Linked DNA regions of Schizosaccharomyces pombe. The protein of the gene in region 1 binds, or shares a complex with, the protein of each later gene. Each region holds a gene or a part of one and is shown on either strand. Other genes may lie near its edges.

Region 1 (10,116 bases):
CGTTTGTCCAGCATCTAATAAACTCCTTGCTTTTTTCCAAAGCTTCTTGAACTGTGATCGTCAATTCTCTACACTGTTCAGGAGAAATCCCAAACACTTCATGAGGTGGTCCTGGTAGTGATGGGTCATCACCTAAAAGTGCAACCATCAATTGTTCGAGATGAGCAGTATATTTGTGTTCAGCAGATATAATTTCAAGAGCAGAAGAAGCAAGGATTGATAAATAATTTTGTTCAAATATGGAAGATATAGCAGGATGTGTGAGCAAGTCTTGTGGTTTTGTCAGCGGTGACATGATCTCTATAATTTTTACTGAGTTAGCAAGCGATCGATGTATATGACCATGATTGGCGAGTGCTGATAACTAATATTTCAATTCAATTCATAATCAATCTTTGAAAACACAACACGAAATCTCCAAAAGCACAATGAATCAAAAAAATTGTATGTCTAACATAACTAAGTGTGTGTACGACTTACCAGCTATGTTTATATCGTTATATGGGTTATCATGGTCCAACCATTCCGGATCTATTCTCCTTCGAAAATGAGAGACAACTCCTCTTTTAGTATTACCAATGTTATAGTACTATAAAGTAGTGGTTAGCAGTTTACGATTCCCAATTACTCACACATACATCAATGTCTATAGAGGAGCCACTAGAGTTACCGACGCAACCATAATATACATTTTTCGATCCTTTCTTTCTTTTTAATCCACGATTTGTAAGTGCCTCTCCAATGGAAGAGTCGGAATCCGAGGCTATACGAGATGTTAGTGAAAATTATAAATCTCATTTTGACAATAATTACCATCAGAATCTTCAAATAACGCCTGCTTAAACCTTCTAAATTTGTTAGAAAAATACATAATACGTGACATTCATAAAAACCTACTCAATTTGTTCTTCAAATTGCTTCATGGTTTTTGGCACGTCAGATATTCATACTTACTCAATCCAGTACAAATTAGCGATTTCTATCGCATTATAGCGTTTACATAAAATGCGAAAATAACCTGGCGTAAGTTGGGTTACTTATTCAATTTATAAATAAATAGTATTGAAACAAAAATATACATTGTTTTAATCGTTAGAGGTAAGCTGCTAGTATTCTTGAATAATAAGAAAAATCCCTTTCCGCAGGTAGGGCCTGGTTTATTTTGCTTTCTCGATATTCCTTTTCCAATTTTTACATGGATGGAAAGACCAGCTTTTTAACTTAAAAAAATATTTAAAAAAAATAATTAATCCATAGAGAATAATGTATTATTATGGAACTTTTATATTCTCACACTTTTTCTCCTACAAACTTATGTCGTTATAATGAAACAAATTGCTATAGTTTTCTTGGAAGAAGTGTAAATATTAAAAGGAAATTTCCAATTCAAAGATGTGGAAAGCATTAAAAAACATCCTTCCATTCTATTGAAAATTTTAAACAATTTGAAAATACCTCGAGTTTGGATTTGCTTTTTTGAAACTAGCGTTCGTCAAAAATAATAAGTAAATAAATAAAAATTTAAAATCTCGTAAAATTCTTACCAATTAAAACCTACTTAGTTTTTAAGCAAAACAAATGAGCAGAATAGTTAAACAACATTTAATTTTTATAAAAAAAGGAACTAATGGTGACAATCATGTATAAAGTCAATGAAAAATATGGCTCATCTGTTGTTGTTAAACAGATTTCAACTCAAATGAAAATTTTAGGATGGTAGTCGCAATTAGAAATTAAAGACAAACACTTAATTGTAAAATCTCTCAATACTATATAGTTCATTCAATCGCAGACAGCTCGATTCCAGAAGAATGTATATGTTTTGATACGAATGAGCGAATACAAGATTTAATGGCCGTTGAAGATTTTATTAATAAGAATGAATTAGTAGAAATTTTTTAACATTTAAAAAGTAAATTCTATGTATTTTCCCTTTTCTATTGATGTCCATCGTTTGTTTGTATATTAGGTAGTCGATTTGTTTGTTTACATTCTCGCCAACAATTGGTATTCAAATAACCAGCTTGGCGCAGACTTTTCCTCTACCACAAATATTTACAGCATAAAAAAAATCCAAAATTGAGAGCCTAACTGTTGTTTTCGACTTCTTATCATGTCTTATGAGGGCCGTGAAGAACGACCTGAGCAGATTGCTGAACCTACTTTCGAAAATGTGTCGGAACACAATGAACATGATTCGGGATCTGCTGAGGCCCAGGTGGAGACACTGGAGGTGCCATTGAGCAACGAAACCGACAATGATGATGCCACTGAAAACGCTGTTCCTGCAGAAGTACAAGCACCTGAGGAACCCAAGGAGCCTGAAACAGTCGACAATATCGATCCTGCAGATGATGATCCAAACAGCGTGGCAGCTCCCAAGGTTGAAGAAAAAAAATCCAAGAAGAAAGCCAAGGATGAAAAACCATTGACCTACACCACTGGTGGGTATTTATACTGTCGATCCAACGGACTTATTCCGTAAGTCAAAACAGCATCCATTTATTAAAAATCAAACAATCGATTGAGTAATCTTACTAACCACATGTAGTCATGTCATGAAAAGGTATTTTTATATGCTAGAAGGCCCTATGTCTATGGATTTATTAGACCATTATTATAAAAAACACTTCCATGGTACTTTGCAAGGTAACCCAACGGAACCTTCCTTAGCTTCTGAGCAAATGCACGACTCTGATGCTGATTCCCTCTTCCAGTCTGCTAATGATCACCTTAACCGTATCGCTAAAGCTACTCAAGACTGCCGTGGTTTACTCTTTTACTCCAAATCTCAATCAACTAGTGTCCCAAGCGGAATCATTAATTTGGTAAGAATTCCTAATTCCCCTGATTTTTAGTTTTAACCGTGCTAACTGTATTTTCAGACTGATGCAGTATCCATAGAACCCGGTACTGGAAACAAATTCACCATCAATTTTAACAATGGTAAATCAGAAACACTTGAAGCCCTAGACCCAGAAAGTAAAAATACATGGATTACTGATCTCAAAAATGCCATTGCTAAGAAAAAGGAAACCAAAGATAAAATTAAAGAGCTTCGTGCTTACAATGACACGCTTAAAAGACTCGGCAAGTTAGCAGCTCGTTCAGGTCCTTCAGCAAGTGAAACATTTCGTTATTTCCTTCCAATGCTTTCTAACGGACGGGACGCGAAAAAGTCATCTAGTAAATCTCATGGCGGAAAACAAAACAATTCTGTTGCCAAAGACGGTCTTTTTGACTTTTTTCAAAACATGATTAAGGGGAAAACTCCGCAAAACGATACGGCTAGTCCCATTGATAATGAAACGTCAGCTGACCCGGTTGATACTACTGTTGAAGCACAATCAGTCGAAGTTCCTGAGAATGAAACTAACCAAATTCCCACCACTGAAGAACATTTTCCTGCTACTACGGAAGAAGTGGCTCCCGCATCAGAAGAAAAACCAGCCACAGGTCCGGCAGAAGAATCAACATCAACTCAAAATGTTGAGCAAGCTTCTACTCAAAATGATAACGGAACCCCCATCGGTCAAATAGCAGACGCCATTGAAGAAGATGTTAAAGGTACAGCCCAATCAGTTGAACAAGCTTTCATAGAAGAGACTGATATTGCACTTCCTGATATAGCACTTCCCGATGTTGCGACCCCTACTGCAGACGATCAAGACCCTTCCACTGCAGCTACTAATGAAGAGAGTGTTGTCAGCAATGAAGATAGAACGTCTAAGAAAGCCGGAAAAAAGCATCATCGGCATCATAAGAAGAAAAAAGGAGGCAACAAGAGAGTATTCGGCTTTAAGCTTCACAAGTATGCTAAACCTACCAAAAGTGTTAAAACTTTACAGGCAGATCCTTCCCTTGAATTTGCTAAGGCAGGATTTGAGATATTTCCTTCCAACCTTTCAAAGAAGCTCTCAGGTTTGGTGCAAAAAAAAGTGCATAAGAAGTTTGATAAAGACGGGAGACTAAAAGAAATTTCCCAGTTCTCAAAAACCACAATAAAACCGGAAACTCCCTTAACTCCTACAACAACTCCAACGCCTCGAACAGCTGCACAAGAAGACCCAGCTGAAGAAACAACTGATGCCCTCGCCTCAGCAGAAGGAGAAAACAATCAGATGCCCCAGGTGCTCGAAACAGAAGCAGCTCCTTCTATAGCTTCTGAAGGACGGTCCATTACCGTTAACGCTTAAACGCCCTTTTTACTTCACATGTGCGCAGCAGATGAAAAGAGTTTTTCCATTAACGCTAGGCTTTACAACAATTACTATAATGCTTTCAACAAGTGTAAAAAATATAAGCACCGATATGTTTTACCGATAATTGTTCGGCAAATCCCACAGGTCAGATAATATACATAATCTCGTTGCTTAGAAAATGAATGACCTTTTTCAGTTTAACAGTAATGGAGAAAAACAAATTGTAATTATTGGAGTCAACCAGTAATAAATTAGCTTAACCGAAAAGCCAGCCACGACAATTAGCGGAACCACATTTGCACTGCCGGCGAAGTTTTGAAATTCTATTTTGCTGAGATTTTTGAGATTGAACAGGTGAGAAATCTTTTGCACCAGCGTAATCAAATGTAAGCTCCTCTAGAGGCTGAATGTCTTTGATGGCAAAAAAAGCGAGATCATAAATGGTTCGAAATCCATGGTTCCGAACAGCAGAATAAATAGCTATATTAGGTGAACAGGAGTGGTTAAAAAAACGAGAGACATCTCCATAGTTCTGAGCATCCACTGTATACTCGCTAGCATCATCAAACATGTCTAAATCAAATAAATAGGTAATACCGTCGTCGTCATAATTTTTGTCACGCTTGGCGGCCTCTGCTGAAGTTATGACTTCTCCTAAATAGCAAGTGATAAACGTGCCAGCAGGGGCAAATCGAAGCGAACGTACACCCCATCCTTTTTCTTTTGTTTTAAATATTTCAAGCGGAAGAGTTCTACCACGTTGAACAACGCGATTAGGACACTCCATTGAACAAGAACAAAAAGAGTTGCATTCATATATAACGGCACCCGTATCTGCACGGACCCGCCCCTGTGCATCATAGGCAAAATGAGTTGGCTCATCCAAATCATCTAAACACTCACAACGAGAAGGATTGTTAAGGTCACAACCGCCAAGGGACGAGCAATTGCATCCAGATTGAAAATTTGGATCAGGCGGGATAACACCTTGTGTTAAGCGGTACTGGCTAATGAATTGAAAATCTAAAGATGGACAGGGTTCATCGTCAACTTCATTGACAAGCGTTACTTCGGGTCCTTCAATTTCCCGCAGTTTCTTACGAAATAGCTCTCTCTTTTCGTAAAAACTTAGATGGGTATAAGAGTCAAGTTTGGAAGGGTTTCGCGGTTTTGTGAGAATTGAAGATGTTTTGGGGGATGTAGCTTCTTTAATAGAATTGGAAACTAGTTCTCTTTTTTGAGATTCCTCCTTCACTTCATTTCTCGTCTTCCCCAGCTTCTTTGAATTTGTATGAAGACTATCGTCTAAAATGATACTAGTATCATTCGTCGTCAGAGCGGTGGATTGTTTTCGAGATTGTCTCTTGGTAGTTTGAGAAGAAAAAACCTTTTTATTTTCCTTTTTTACATTCAATTCCCGCGAAAATCTTTGAGAACGAGGCACTGACTTTGAAGTTTGATGTTGGTGCTTTTGTCTACTGTTTGGATGTGGATTGCTCGCATGGTGCGGTGAATCCGAGTCGGAGTTACTTCCCTTTAGTCTCCTCTTCCGCCTTTTCCATTCTGCTAAAACGGCAGAACATCCAGAAAGGTTCTCAGGGGGCTCCCAAGTATCACTTCTAGATGAATAGTTCAACCATCGAATGCGATATAGTTTGACAGCTCCATTACGATCCAATTTTTCGTCCACAATCCTTTCAACTTCATACTCCTCTTGTTTAGGCGACATTCGCAAAACTAATAACCTCTTGTTTGGTGAGATGATTTTTAGCAAACCCTCCAAATGATGCCTGAACGAATTTAAAAAATAAAATAAGGAGAGGGTTTATGTTAATATGACAATTGCTAAAGGACTAAAATAATAGACGACCGCGAACTCAGAATATAAAACTGAATGTTTTTTAGTAATGAGCAATAAATATATAAAGTCGATGTGTTCAATTTCAGAGCAAAATTGAAGCTCTGAAATTTGAAAAAGGTATCAAGTACAAAGTAATTTTAAAGTTATAATATACAAATCAACTTTCAAACAACAATCCAAACTAGCAATGCCAATTCATGTTATAACAGTTTGTATTTCGACCAGGTTGTTGAATCGCACTCCTTTACAGAAGTCAAAATTTAAAGAAACGGAGAATCGCCCCGTAAAGGAAATACGGTGTTAACAACACACTGCTCTAATGAAGAACACGTAACGTATCACTATATGTCATATGTTAGGATATTACTTTAGAGCAGTTTATTGATAAATGCGCAAAACCATTTTCATATTTACATAGACGCTGGCTAATGAAGACTAAAAAGATTATAAATTGAGCTGCAACTGAACTGAGGAATGAACTTCAGTTATAAGCTATATTAGTTATAGGTCACAATGCAATCTAGATAATTTAATACCTATACTCAATTGCTACTTGTAATACCTGTGTATTGTAATACGTTAACAAGGAAAAATTACCGCAGTTCTATGTTATCGTTAAAGCAGATACCAAACTGCGTAGCTGACTTTGTATCAGTGTGCAGCACGGAGTCTAACCCATCTGTGTCTAAATAAGAAAGTTGAGCGTTTTTAAAAAACAATAGTATGTTCAATTGCTCTATAATAATAAAAGAAATGAAACAACAGTAAGATTGTCCATAGAAAAACTTTTTACACAATTAGTCGCATCGCCATTTTTATAATGATTAAAAACTATTATATTTGACTATCGGGTTTTGATTTCGGTACAAAGAATGCCTATAAACAAGCTTCTCGCAAAATTAATAAAGTAAGGAACCAAATACCTTTGCATTCGAGCATTCATTTTTTAATAATGGTTAAACTTGAGCTCATTAGATAAACAAGGTCAATTAAAAAAGATTGAGTCTCCAGCCAACTTTCAGAACGCGATAACCCATAACCCATTCTAGAAGCACATGTTGGTATTTGGTTTTTTCGCTTGTTAATTTTGAATGACAATGGAGAAGTCATGTACTCCATTTCTGGATAAATTTTCTGCAGGCTCTAAAGGTTGATTAACAGTAGCCAATCCAAAATGTTGCTAATTTGGTTCAATTTTGAATTGCAAATCGGTGGTGCCAACATGCCTTAAAAAGTTCCATTTAAATTTAAACTTTGAAAAAATGAATAAAGAAAACAAAAAACCATACATGCTTTGACCCATATCTCTAGTGCTTCTTAATACTCTATGTGAAAGCTCCCTTGATAATTGTCGATCTCAATTAGATGGTGCGATAAATTCACCAGACTACAAACTCAAAATTTGATTGCAGAATACCTACTGTACATTAGATATATTTTTTGAACGAAGCCTTTAATCCTATCCCTTCATACCATAAACAAAAAAACAAAGCCCAATATAACATGCCAGGGATTCAATATTACCAATGATGCCTCTAGTGAATGAGAATGAAATTTCAGATCCATATACTGTGCACAAAAGATTCAACAAATACACTTTGAATGTAACTAATATTGTAGCCACCATACCGGGTTGCGAAATTTTCAATGTGGAATAGGCCATACCGAAGACAAAATCTCTGTATATATTTACGATTTTTCAATTGTATTTCTTGCTTTTAATCTTGCTTTATTATTTATTATTTGAAGTGTGAAAGGACAAGATGTAAATATATTAACAATTGCATATTCGCCTCTTATAGAATTATGACGGAAATTACCTACTTGCCGAACGAATGTGAAAATAAATAAAAGTTCTTTAGCATCTTTGGAAAAAAGAGATTAATTTCGTTTAGTTAAAGCATTACCATATAAACGGCTTTGTACGATGTGCATGAGCAAAGTCCATAGATATCAAACAAATGAGAGTTAACCCGTTCAAAATAAATAGTATCTTTTCAACAAGATTCCTTCTCCAAGTTATTAGAAGAAAAATCTTGACATGTATTTGATAGTCTTTCAATTGAAAAAAAAAATATATATATATACGCAGAAAACAGGGGTTTTCGTTATTATTTACATGCGAATTAGTTTTTATTTTTAACTGATATCGTATTTTATAAATAACACATGTATTTTTATATAATTTTATAAGATTTCCGCCAACATACGCTATATACTTTCTTTTGTTTATAACGGAGCGAACGAGTAGTTCTACGACCAAATCGGTTTTGACAGTGCGTGTAAAATTACACAGCTGCTTTTCCAAGAATTTATGAGAGAATTTCTCGTCTAAGATACAATTCGGAGAAATCGAGGACTGGAAAACCAGTCGCAGTTTCCCGTTTTTTTAGGATCAGAAAACAAAAGAAGTATCAGGTCTTGTTCCCAATGAAGAGAAATTGATAAAATATAAATTGAATTACAAATAATTGTTTAATTAGGATTGAGAAGCAGCACCGTTTATATGCATATTTGAGCCAATTCAAGCCTTTTAAATTAAGGATGTTGGCTTCAATTTCACTAAGCGATTTTGGCGCATTCCAGCGTTCGTATCCTAAACTAGCCCATGAGGTCATGGATACGATGTATAGGTTGTAATGAAATACATAGCTTTTCCATTTACCAACTCCATCGTGGAGGGACGGATTTGGGAAATTGGAAGAATCTACTTTTGAAGAATATATAATTACAAAATTTTGGACAACTACCATTACTTTGTAGGCCAATTGTCACGTTGACTTGTTTTGTGAGACGTAAACAACATTCGGAAATAAGGCGCGCGCGTAAGGTTGGTTGAACACAATGAAAAGAAAATCTTCACATTATAATGATGCGCATGCATCTCATATAAATGAAGATATCGAGGAATCTTACAAGGATTTGTACAACAATTTAAGCCCAAGCTCGACTATTTTGCTGCTTTTGTATGCGCGATGGTTCCCTGCAACACTGATACATTTCTTGGACAAATACTACACTTCTACGCCCATATTGATTGATATGATTCACAAGCAATGCATTTATAACCCTCCGAAAGGCTCGCTACATGTACAACTTGAATATTACCTCGCTTTCCTGAATAGAATGGCTCTCATCTTTGACAGATTTCCTGATCTGTTTCCCACTGAAATTTCCAAAGTTAAATTTTTTACAAAGGATTTCTCCAAGAAGGATAAATTAACTGCTTTGGATACCTATAGGTCGTTCCCGGGTTCTACTTGGAAAACGATCGTGACTTTTGCTACACAAGAAGTTTTCTATCTGCCGGAAGGACTGGAGCCTTTAAAAAGAGATTTTTCTTCTATGGATAAGCTTAAATTGATTGGAAAAATCACATATAAACTTAGGTTGAAGGGGGATACAGCCCTGAAATTTGCCTATCTTCACGCTCCCTCTGACGTAAGAGACAAGGTTTTCGACGATGCGTTTTGGCAAGAGATTATAACTCCCAAAGCCTCCTTGGAACAGCAATCAAATAATATTCCTACGGGAATCCAGGATTCGAGCAAGTATACTGTTAACGGACCTACGGAAAGAGACAACAAGTCTATGAAATCGTTTGTACGATCGTTCTTTACGTCGACGGATTCATCTGTTGCTGATACTACAATTATTCCGTCAATGACTCAACAGTTTGACAAAGATCCATCGACTCTCGTCCAAAGCAGTATTGATAAAGAAATTCAGGTAAAAGAAGACGGTACTACCTCTTCCGTTGCCGTTAATGCTGAAACAGCGGTTCAGAACGTAAACGGAACCATCAAGGAATCACAAGGCACTGAATCCATTTCGTTTGCTTCGAAAAACAATTCCGCACCTTCGGCAGATGCCAACAACGGTAATATGACAAAGTTAGTATCAAAGGAAAAAGCTTTCCTCAATACCGTTACTACCCCAAATGCTGATTTGATTATTTCCGAGGAAGATGAGCTAACGGAAATGACTCTCCGTACTGCTAACGGCTCCGAACCTACCAAGAAATCTAATAGAAGTGAGCAGAGTAAAACTGTT
Region 2 (5,049 bases), on another chromosome or scaffold:
TTCCAACGCGGTCCACTCATCCACTCGACGTTGAAACCTTTTTACGCGCTCATTTGTACGAATCTCCTCTTCATTCAGGTGAGTTTTGTTCTCAAGGGCCCTTCCCTCACTCTCTAATATTCTATTTCTCGCTTCTATTCTTCTTTTCTCGAATTCAACTCGAAAGTCGTTTAAAAATCTATTTCCCTCCTTTGAAGAGGATTCAGTTGGTGGAGGAATATTAAATTCATTAGAAAATTCCTCGTTCAATTCACTTTCAGTATTAGGCATAATTTATTGTTTACAAATTAATATTGTTTAGTAGTAACGCGAATAGCAAGCTGGGTGCAGCCAAGTGTAGTGGTACATGAATATGTAAACACCAAAGCTGTAAACAAAAAAGCTTCCGGTAGTTGTTCATCATTTTTTTAAATTGAAAAGGTGAGTTGATGATTAAATTATGGTTTTTGTTAACGGCATGTTTTCAAGTTAACTAATTACGTTTGCTTGAAGAGTTAATTCAACATTCCATAAAAAATCTCCATTTCTGTTAACATTAAGAGTTTCGGGTCTAAGCTAAACTTAAATTTATCTATGTTTGATATTTTAATTTAATTTGTAACACATTTTTCATCCTTTAACCGTGAAAGCTCATTTGTTTGTTACTATGTTTTGCTTTTGAGTTATCAAACCAGTCAGTTGATCATTAAAGAAACATATTAGATATTATTAAAATTTTCTTGCTGTAAACGTCAATTCAATAATCAGCTTGACTTTACCTTCACTGAGATTAAGGTTTAATTTTCCATTATCCTTTAGAATCATTGCAAAATTTTTGGCCTTCTTCAGTTCTTAAATATTTCTCGGATCGATCGCTGTCTTTAATTTTCTTGCCAGTTCACCCACGAAAAGGAATTCGATTAAATATTCATACTAGCTGAGCATTATTTCTTTTATACCTTCTCTGTATCCTAGTCGTCTAATAAAGAAAATTTTTCTTAGCGCGAATCTCCATTGACTGATCATCTTTACATATACCTTTTCGTATTTAAACCTCAATTCAGGTTAAAAGTCGATTTTCTATAATACGAAACTCTCCGAATTTATTACCATTGTCATTCCCCAAACTGTACATATTGACGTCCCCTCCAACACAACATACGGTTAGCTTTGAAGCATCCTCACTGAACCCTCCGTAAGTTATGGCTGAATTCATTTCCGTAAAATTTTGTATGAATGGATTGTTCAATCTCAAATCCCAAACCTTTACAATGCCATCACTGCCTCCGGTAACGAACAAATTCCCCTTAGGCTGCCATTGTGCCATATTTATACCTGCATCGACTTCCTCTTCATTAGCCCCGTCAAAATGTATCATTTTGGTTTTTCCATGCTTAAGCAAGCTAAGAGGTTTATCTGGTTTACGCGAATCCCAAACAAACGTCTGGTTATCTGTACCACTAGAAGTTACCAAGATTCCAGAGTTACTTATGGTGGCATGGTTAATGTCTTTTTGCGTTGTCGTAAAGTTGAGACAAACCTTATACATTCTTGTGTCTAAATAATATACTCTTCCATTGCTCAAAGTATTGCTACTTGCGACAAATCCAACTTGAGAAGGATGCATATATAAGGAGGTAAATGCTTCGTCAGCGGTGTTGAATTTTTGAACGAAGCTGGCAGTGGAAGCATCAAACAGAGCCAAACATCCTCTGTTATTAGAAGTATGAAAACTATCATATCCAATAATGACTTTGTCAGATGACCTTCCCAAAAAATTGGAAAATTCAATCAAAGATGCAGAGTACCCTTTTTCTAGAGCTTCTGGATAAATTAAATTAGCTGATGTGAGAATTTCTCCTGTTGAGTTGTCAGTGCTCAATAAATACCCATAACCATTTTTGCAAGCTACTGCAAGTAAATCGTCATCAGATAGAGCAAGCTTGTGAATATAGTCTGTGGGTGCATTAAAAATCCCACATAAATTTCCTTCCATATCCCAGACTTTCACAGCATTGTCGAATGCACCTGTATAAAGAAACAGATTACCCTTGGAAAAACACAAATCTGATATCGTAGAGTATTCCTTTTCTCCTACTTGATTAAGTTTATAATGGCTTTCCAATGACTGAATAGTTTCTGAGTGAAAATCACCAATCCATAAGTTGCCTAGTCTATTGTAAGCACCATCTTGTGCTGTGCTGCCTAAGGCAAATTTTTCGCACAATGGATTATATGCAACGCACACTGTATCCCCACTAGTTTCATTGAAATGTTTCCAAGGTTTTAAAAAGAAAACTGATTCCCCGTCCATAAGTTGATGAACTTGTTCTCTTTGGAAGTAAGATGAGCCTGCATTGTAAAAGGATTTTAAGTAATCTGGAAGTAATTTTTTATTCTTCTTGTATGTTCGTAAAATGATGGCCCCATGTTTGTCCACAGGAGACAAGCTGGGGTTATCAATTTCAAATTTCTGGCAATCTTCATATGCTCGTCCAGGAAGTTTTGGAGAAATGTGGGTCGAATAAGCATCATTGAACTGAACACTGTTTACCGGTCCAAATTTTAGTTTAGCTTCTTGTAAAATAAAGCATTCCTCTGGTGTAAAATCAACATGAATGAGTGATGGTTTATCATCGCCTGTAATGCTATTTGAAAGTAAATGAGTGTGTTTTCTCACTCTTTCACTCAAATAAGGACGTGAATTAGGTAAGAATGTCCCAGACGTTAGTAAAAGTTGCAATTCTAATCGTTTATTTACATTTGATGGAACTTTTGCAATTGAATGCTTCGATATTGATAATGACGGTTTCGGGCAAGGTAGCTCTGCGCGATAAAAAGGATCATAAATCTCAAATTCTTCCTCAAAAAATTCTTCGTTATTTGTGTCAAAGTCAACCTTGGGCAATTTAGAAGAGACGGAATGCAAATATTGCGTATCCGTTCTTCTTTTCACCCGTGGTGAACTATTAGTCATGCCATAAATAGGAAATTGTTTGAGAAATTATTGGGCTTTTTACTTTTAATCCTTCAGTGTGCAAGTTCACTAGTTTAACAGAAGTTATGGGTTGCTGAGTGAGTTTAAGGCACTGATTGATATAAAGAATTTACTAAGTCCAAAAAGTATAAAGACATTCCAAAATCGAAAATATTATATTAAAATTGAAGATATAATGATTATCTATTGAGTTACTATTATTACAAATTTATCAGTCAAAGGTAAGTTAATGACTTTACATTGAAGCGATAAAATCTTAACTATGTTTAATTTGTTTTAAAAAACTTTAACCGTTCTATTGACAACTCAATAATAAATTATATCCATTAATAGGAATCCCCAAAAAAATAAATAAACTTCCAAAACGCATATACTGACTTAGGGAATTACGGTCCAAAAAACTAGGATAACAAAAAAAATGCAAAGGGAGATATGGCAGGTATATAAAAAGGAAACGGCCAAAATTTGGGCTAATTTTAAAAAAACAAAATTCTAATTTGAGAACAAGAATTGCATATCCTCGACAGAAAGCTGGTTCAAAGCCTTTTCGTCTTGATCTATGGTTGCATGTATCATCTGAGCTTTCTTTTCTTGTAGTTCAATAATTTTGCTTTCAATGGAATTTTCAATACACAGGGTAATTACTTTTATCGGCCTTTTTTGTCCAATACGATGAATTCGATCCATTGCCTGCCACTGTACAGCTCCATTCCACCAAGGATCCATCATAAACACTTGAGATGCCTCTGTAAGGTTCAAAGCAACACCACCTGCTTTCAACGAAACTAGAAAAATGGTAATATTAATATCGTTACTGAAAGCCTCAATAGTAGCTGCTCTCGCTTTGGGGGTCATACCACCATCTAGCTTTACACAATTAAACCCGGCTTTTCGAAGTCGCCAATGAATGAGATCTAACATAGAAGTAAATTGAGAGAAAACAATCGACTTCAGTGTTCGGTCCTTCTTACGAAGTAAGTAAAGCTCCTCAACTAATGCTTCAATTTTTGTAGATGAACGCCAACTATTCATATCAATTCTATTCAAAATCGATGCATTCTTAAACTTCTCTTCAGAAAAATCTTCTAAAGCAGGGGCACTAAGATCTATGCTTAAGGGAATGAAACAACTTGGACAGTTGACATTTTCTCCATCACCAGCTGCATTGATATATTCCGTAACGCAGAGTCGACAAAATGTGTGATGGCAACGTGATTCTATAGCATCTTGAGCGACTTCGTCACAAATCTTACAGACGATATTTTCCTGATTTTCAATATCAACTGTTTTTCGTTTGCTAGCTAACACCAGGTCAGGATGATCTGCCATTTGGCGCATTCGTGTAATTAGCTGGAAAATGTTTGCATAATTATTCAAAACGACACCTTCAGCAAGATATGTATTAAATTTTCTTTTTGAATCCATATATAAAGATTGGTATACATCTTCCTCTTCTTCGTTGAATAAATCTTTCCTCACTTCAACGACTCGAGGAGGTAATCCAAGGTCATCAGCCCTCTCTAATTTTGTTCGACGTAACATAATGTGTTTTAATAAAGAATGCACCTTTTTAAAAGCTAGCTTTCCTGGACCTTCGTATCCAAACTTTTGTATTGGTTTTAGCATTTCAGCGTTAAAATAGCAAGTATGACTCATTGGTTTATGGCCGCATTCGTCGCAATTACTTCTATCGGAAAATCTCCAGTGCAGAGATTTACATTCACATTGCAAGCAATAGTAGTAAGCAAAAGGATCTGCCCGTAGGAACCGAAGAAGTGAAAATAATTCTCCAATACGGTTTTGCAAAGGTGTTCCTGAAAGACATATCTTTCTTGTCGTTCTTAAGCCACAAACAGCTCTGGCAGTGTTACAAGTCCTTGATTTGATACCATGGGCCTCATCAAGTATAATTCGGTAAAACTCCATTTGATGAAGTAATGACTTTTCTTTTACAACACCGTTTTTCCTTCTGAATCCGCTGCGTTCCTTCCTGTAAACTGATTCAATTACATTGTAACTCGTTAGTACAACATCATAGCTCGAAAGCTCTTCTCCTGAAATATCACGAGCCT
Region 3 (6,416 bases), on another chromosome or scaffold:
AAATCATGATTTTCCTCGCTTTTTTCATGAAACCAAAGACATCGCCGTAAGTCTATTGAACAATATTTCAATTTAGTACCTGCATTTTTTATATATTTTAACATTTATTTAGCTGGCTCTTAACGCATTAACTGCACTTATTTTCATGGACGGTATTCCAATTATCTATTATGGACAAGAACAGATGTTTGACGGTGGTAGCGATCCTGACAACAGAGAAGGTCTTTGGAAAAGTAAATACAATACTTCCAATCCAATGTTTAGACATCTTTCTTCAATGATACGCACGCGTCAAAATTTGGTTGAGACCTACCCAGAGTTTACATACGTGCTATCTTTTCAACTATACATTGACGATTCAGTTTATGTATTTACTCGTCCAGGAGTCATTATAGCCATAAGCAATGAAGGCTCTACCTCGTCGTTTAAAGTTGAAATAGATTTGAAAGAACACTGGAAAGAAGTGCCTTCAAGTTTTACAGATATTCTTACTCAGAAAACCATCCCCTGTAAAGACCATAAACTGAAGATCAAATCAAAAAGTGGCTTGCCAAAGGTAAGCATTTAGTTCATGTTTTATTCTACTAACAATTTTTAAGATCCTAATTTCCTCTGACCCTAGCTTCCTATAGAGAAATTACACTAGAGTTTCTCCAGTTTAATTACACTCCAAAAATACTTGGCAACACGTGATCGCCAAATGGAGAAAGTTTTTTTTTAATTTTTTAGCTTAAAAAATTCCTTTGAGCTTTTATGCCAGTTGAAGTGCTCAGTTTCTGTCATATGAAATTTAATAGTTTCATTTTAATTATTGAAATCCAGAATATATGTCATCTCGTCTTAGATAGATGAGCGATGCAACAATTATGACAAATATCTTGAATTTCGAAGAAGATTTTACGAAAGAAATTGAGACTGATAACTTTTTAACCAAGCTTTATGTACTTGTATTTATCAGTGCCATGTTGCGACAGCTTGTGACTTATAATTATAAATCAAAAGATTTTTTTTGTATTACTCACAAATGCATAATACAGTCCTAGAACCAAACTTCCAAATTTGCAATGATCCATAAAGTGTAAGATAATAACTCAGAGCAAAAAGGCAATAATACGTTTAACATAAACTTTGTATTTCCTCAAGGAGGGCTTGAACTTTTTGGTAAGAATTGAGTGATTCCCTATGTTCTACACTTCTGCATAATCGGAAAAGTTCTGAAGATGCCCATCTTTTGACATCGATAACCAAGTCTCCATCAATAAACGGGACTGGAGAAATGAGGTCTGCTTCTATACTTTCGTAGTCCATAGATGACAAGTATGAAAATTTTAATTTTCGAATTTTTCTTGTAAGTTCCTCCAGTTCTAGCTCCTTATCTTTTAATGATACTATACTCCCAATAGCACCAATTTCCGTTGCAAAAAGCATTTTTGGCTCTAAAAACGAATTGGTATTTGTTATTGGGAAATTTTGAAATTTGCTAACTTTATCATGCAGATGGTACACACTTTCACAAATGAATCTGTCATTAAAGTTTTTTGCATCTTTGTTATAACGAAGAAGTTTTAGCAAGCCACTATTAGTTGCTATTATATAAACTGTTCCTTCATATAATGCTGCTTTCACAATGTTTTCTCCAAAAAGGTATCTGGCAACGACAATAAACTTTTGGCCATCGAAGTACATAATCGTAAAACGTCCAATACTGTCCGCTATAGCAATCTCGTTACCCTCTACGATGAGTTGTAAAACTATAGAACCTAGTGATATCCTAGAATCTATCATAAGCCTTTCCTCGGTAAGTTTAACGATTGCAACTTGTTGCCCAAATGCAACGATGTATCGATCATTATATACCCCCAGATCTATCACGGCCGCAGATAGTACCATAGACGAAACTACCTTCAAAGACTGAAGCTCCTTTTCAAACTCTAACAAAATTAATCTTCCATTTACCGGCACCAACTTATCTTGTTCTATAATGCTTGTTCCTACAAGTAAAGAACTCTCATTAATCTTCAAAACTTTCTCACAACGTTCATTTTCGGTAAAAGAAAAAACCCTGAACGAATTATCATCATAACTATCGACCAACTCCAAGTGATAATTTTCCTTGTAACTTTCGTAATCTTCATATCTATTCTCGAGTGTTCTAAGCAACAGTTTATTTTGAAAAATAATGGCTTGTAACGGAACATGCTCCAAAAGTACTTTTCTTGGGGTCAATTCTGGCAATGGATTAAGTTGAAGGAATTTCAAGCCCCCTAATGATACAGAAATGAGAAAATCCTTCCCTGAGTTATCACGAAACTGACACACATCATAACTTTGAGGCATACTAAGCGGCATATAACATAGTGCTCCATTAAACCCATATACCATGTGTGGACAGTCATTGTTGCATATGATATAGGTACCAATATTCATCGTAAATCTCCTAAACGATACAGGGGTTGTACCGAAATGTTTTGTTTCAGAGAATACCAGATTATTTTTGAAAAGTACATAAGATTTAAATTCACCACTTCCGCTAGAAACTAAAAGAAGATTTCTGTCAACACCAACTCCTTCTAAAATAATATTTCTGGGCAATGATGGAACGTTGGTTTGAAAGGCGCAGCTAATTGACGAATTATCTGAGAATGTAAGTATCATCACCTGCTTAGACCAAAATCCAACTCCTATTTGAAATTGCGCTGAAAAATCAAGGCAAGAAATTTCACTTTCAAAAACTTTTCGTGCAACTTCTGTATCTTTTTTAAATATTGCCAATGCTGTTCCATTGATAACGATTGCGGAGTATTCTTGATAGCAAGCAGCGTTCGTGATTTTTTCAATATAAACTAAACGAGAGCGCTTTGCAGAATCGTAGATACAAAGAAAAGTAGATGTGACTTGTACAAACTCACCATTCGTCCCTGAAAGCGCAATCGTCCTTTCTTTGGTTGATAGAGATGGGTCTAGCTCTAACTGGAAATCTTCTTTGATATTAAAAGCAACAGTTTCACTAGGAAACCCGAGGAAGAGCTTATGCTCTGGATATGATGGTAGGACCATAGCTCGAAGGATGCCCGAGATTTTCGTCTGCCCTAAAATATCTAATTTCAGAGCATGTTGAAAATAAATTAAAGAAGCGTTTCTTGGTGTTCCTGCGCATACAAGGAAACTTTTTTCAATGTCGTTTTTGAGTACTAGTAAATCATGAATGGGTCCTAAGTTGGGTATTGAGTCAACATCCTTCAAAGTAGACAGGTTAATAAGTTTAGATTCCGAATTTTTGCTTCCGATAAACAAGAGTCCCTCATGGATGGAATTTAGAGAAGTAATAAAGTCGAAAGGTGGGATTGGTAGTCTTTCCATAACCAAGCTCCATTTGTTTTTTCCCAAGATACTCGAATATACTCCGAAAAGATATCCATTAGTATCACAAACAATATAATGCATCTTTTGCCCTTTCAAAGGAGTCCAATGCATATAAGTAGTACAAGGACCATTGATTGTAACAAAATTACCGCGATACATGCAATGAATAAACAAACTCTCAAAAACCAGCAAACCTCTTTTTCCAAAGGGCATGATCATTGACGGTTTAACCCGCTCAAATAGTCTAATCCCCTTTCCCAAACTTTTTGAGCTTAAATCTAAAAGAAAAGCTGTTACATAACAATCTAAGCCATCGCTGTGAAGGACCACAAGAGTTGGGGTACTGGAATCATTGAGAATGCACATATCATATATGAGATGCACTGGAAAAGAAAAAGGAAATCCGCTATCTATAGAACGGCCAGTTTTCAACCGTTCTTCGGCAGAAAGGATTCTAATACATATCATGGAAATTTCGTCAATGCTTAAAAAAATAGCACGCATCCTTAAGTCGACAAGGCAGTAGCTTTTCGCGTTGCGATTCCAAGGAAATGTAACTCGATAGCGAACTGGAGGATGGTCGACGATCACTTTTTGATAATCCTCGTCCCAATAAATCGAAAAATAAGTATCATCATTGAGAACTACAAATAAATAGTCTCTATCTAATCCTGGAGGGCGATATGGGCGTATATGTTTCACCGTAGAAAATAAAGGGATAGAGGTAAAGAATTGTAAGCCATGAACCTCACTACAGAGATAAATATTAATTTTTAAGGCTTGTAATAAAACTAAGCAGTTTTCAGATGATATAAAATGACATGAAGTCGCTGTGTCTACCGCCGTTGCCCAGAAGGAATGAACACATAAAGCCATACACGATGAAATCCATAAACTGATATAATAAAAGGAATAAAGACTTTTTTTAACAAAGAAAAAAATAAAAAAAAGAAGCTTTGAGTTGGTTCAAAAGATTATGACTAGACTTATGTGATTAAAAAACAGTTGAATACAAAAATAAAGAGTGGACGGCCAAGAGCCACAAAAGCCTAGAAAAAGGAATTCAAGATAGAAAAAATATGCTACCAAGTGACAATCTCTATCAAATCCTTACCAAAAAATTTCGATTTTGAATGAAAGTGCAAGACGCCAGTTACAGGCACTCCGCAGGGAGAAGAAACGAGATATGCAGTCTCTATACATTTTGCGCAAGCGAATTTATTGTAAAAGTTGATATGCATTTTTTAATATCAGATACTACACAAAACATTTTCTGATAATCATAAAACATAAGACATTTTCAACTTGCATCTTAACTAAGCCAAATTCTACATCAATGTTATAAATTTTAGCATTAGCCATATTGGGGGAAATCGAAAGCTATTGATATTTTTATAATTGCAAAACGATTTGATAATGTAGAGAAGATATTGGAATATGTTACTCTCATCGATGAGCAGAATTAAAAGCTATGGGAGATAACGACTATTGCTATTGAAAACAAGAACTAGGCACGCAAAGAAATATATACCTTCTTTACTATAGTGCATGGTATTAGAGTTACTTAAAAGATTATTTTAACAACTTGCCGATCACGAGGTGATTCACAGATTTATAGCATAAATGAAAACCTACGGATGTCTAGCAATAAAGTTAGGATTTTACTGAAATTCGAGTCGACAACTAAAACATAATATTTTTGTAGCATCGCTTTGAATGATTGAGCATGTAAATATTTAGATATAATTGAAAGCATAGAAATTATCATAAATGATTTTCTTTAGATGCTGAAAGTAATAGCGTTTTTTCTATACCAGTTTAGTGTTCGCGTCATCCATAAATACCGAAGTAAAATCAAGCTTAATATAAGCGAGATTTACGAAGGTTGGACTAAAGATTAGTTTCTCGTAGAAATGGTCATGAACTTTTGAAAGGTCTCTTAAACATAAAATAGTTTTTTAAAAAACTTTCTATATTACTTTTTACCAAATCCAATTACTGCTTTCATCAGTACTCCTTTTTTTTTAAAATGGAAGCGTTTTGACATATTTCGTTCATGATACGCTCAACTATTAGGAACATAGTAAATTATACTACAAATTCACTATCTATACAATGATAAGTATCGTTGAACGTTACATATTGGAAATCAACAGTCAAGCATTGTTTACTGATCACCGAGGAAGAATTTCATGATTATCCTCAGATGTACTCAGTCAAGAATATGATATTAAAATTATTCTCAATATTTAGCTTTAATTAAATATAAGCTATTTAATAAACCAATTTATATGTAAATACCATTCAAATCACCTACATAAATATCTATAGGAACATATCTGTAGATCAGTATCCAAAACGCCGTATAATGTCAGCTACGCAGTTTGGTATCTGCTTTAACGATACGAAAAACTGGTGAATTTTGCATATGATCCATTATATTATAATAGCCGGGTTATATAAGTAATGACTAAGTACTGGTATTGTACTATTTAGGTTATAATGTCACCTATCACTTATAACTGAACTGCGAAATGAGGTTTAGTTGTATCTCTATCGATTCTATCCAAATAATCTATCTGTTAATATAGTATTATCAATATCAATCTCGACATCGCATCATCTACGTTGCGTATCACTATATGTCACATGTTCTAATTATATATCGTACCATGTATGATACGATATTGAGATTGATCTTAATGATAATCTATTAAGATCTATATTATCTGAATAATATAAATAGAGCTACTGCTGAACCTCGTTCCTCAGTTCAGTTATGAGCTATATTAGTGATAGGTAACATTATAACTCAGTTAATACAATACCTATACTCAGTTGCTACTTATACAACCTGTGTATTGTAATATAATAGATCACAAGGAAAACTCACCGCAGTTCTACGTATCCTTAAATCAGATACCAAATTGCGTAGCTTACAATTTAATACAAAAAGGCATTGCCCGTTATTTGATTTTGTTGGATATCCTTAAAGTATGGAAAAGATGTTGCTACTAAGCAAGAGCGTCTAGCATCTGCGAATATGGTGGAAT

Evidence for each region. The genes of interacting proteins can lie anywhere in the genome.
Region 2: clr4 (region 1) and raf1 share a complex: the UniProt entries of both Schizosaccharomyces pombe proteins name them as parts of the clr4 methyltransferase complex.
Region 3: clr4 (region 1) and rik1 share a complex: the UniProt entries of both Schizosaccharomyces pombe proteins name them as parts of the clr4 methyltransferase complex.

What each region holds. Positions count from the first base shown.
Region 1 is NC_003423.3:452,117-462,232, forward strand, and holds clr4 (histone lysine H3-K9 methyltransferase (Suv39) Clr4), read right to left. Parts: upstream 6,295-10,116; 5' UTR 5,932-6,294; coding exon 4,459-5,931; 3' UTR 4,197-4,458; coding exon of another isoform or gene 2,886-4,196; 3' UTR 2,829-2,885; coding exon of another isoform or gene 2,552-2,828; 3' UTR 2,482-2,551; coding exon of another isoform or gene 2,114-2,481; 3' UTR 1,880-2,113; downstream 1-1,879. Other genes in the region: Clr6 and Rpd3L histone deacetylase complex subunit Rxt2, read right to left, coding at 1-300, 481-589, 639-763, 814-848, 898-923; pleckstrin homology domain protein Meu6, read left to right, coding at 2,114-2,481, 2,552-2,828, 2,886-4,196; SPOM_SPBC428.10 (uncharacterized protein), read left to right, coding at 8,908-10,116. UniProt on the Schizosaccharomyces pombe protein: Histone methyltransferase which contributes to the establishment of heterochromatin by specifically methylating histone H3 to form H3K9me. Part of the Clr4 methyltransferase complex (ClrC).
Region 2 is NC_003421.2:99,216-104,264, forward strand, and holds raf1 (CLRC ubiquitin ligase complex WD repeat subunit Raf1/Dos1), read right to left. Parts: upstream 3,050-5,049; 5' UTR 2,957-3,049; coding exon 1,040-2,956; 3' UTR 501-1,039; downstream 1-500. Other genes in the region: protein meu23, read right to left, coding at 1-270; rhp16 (ATP-dependent helicase), read right to left, coding at 3,470-5,049. UniProt on the Schizosaccharomyces pombe protein: Component of the Clr4 methyltransferase complex (ClrC) which contributes to the establishment of heterochromatin by specifically methylating histone H3 to form H3K9me.
Region 3 is NC_003421.2:1,465,997-1,472,412, reverse strand, and holds rik1 (CLRC ubiquitin ligase complex WD repeat protein Rik1), read right to left. Parts: upstream 4,532-6,416; 5' UTR 4,240-4,531; coding exon 1,117-4,239; 3' UTR 633-1,116; coding exon of another isoform or gene 600-632; 3' UTR 557-599; downstream 1-556. Other genes in the region: SPOM_SPCC11E10.09C (alpha-amylase-like protein), read left to right, coding at 1-46, 113-556, 600-632; translation initiation factor eIF2B alpha subunit Gcn3, read left to right, coding at 6,407-6,416. UniProt on the Schizosaccharomyces pombe protein: Component of the Clr4 methyltransferase complex (ClrC) which contributes to the establishment of heterochromatin by specifically methylating histone H3 to form H3K9me.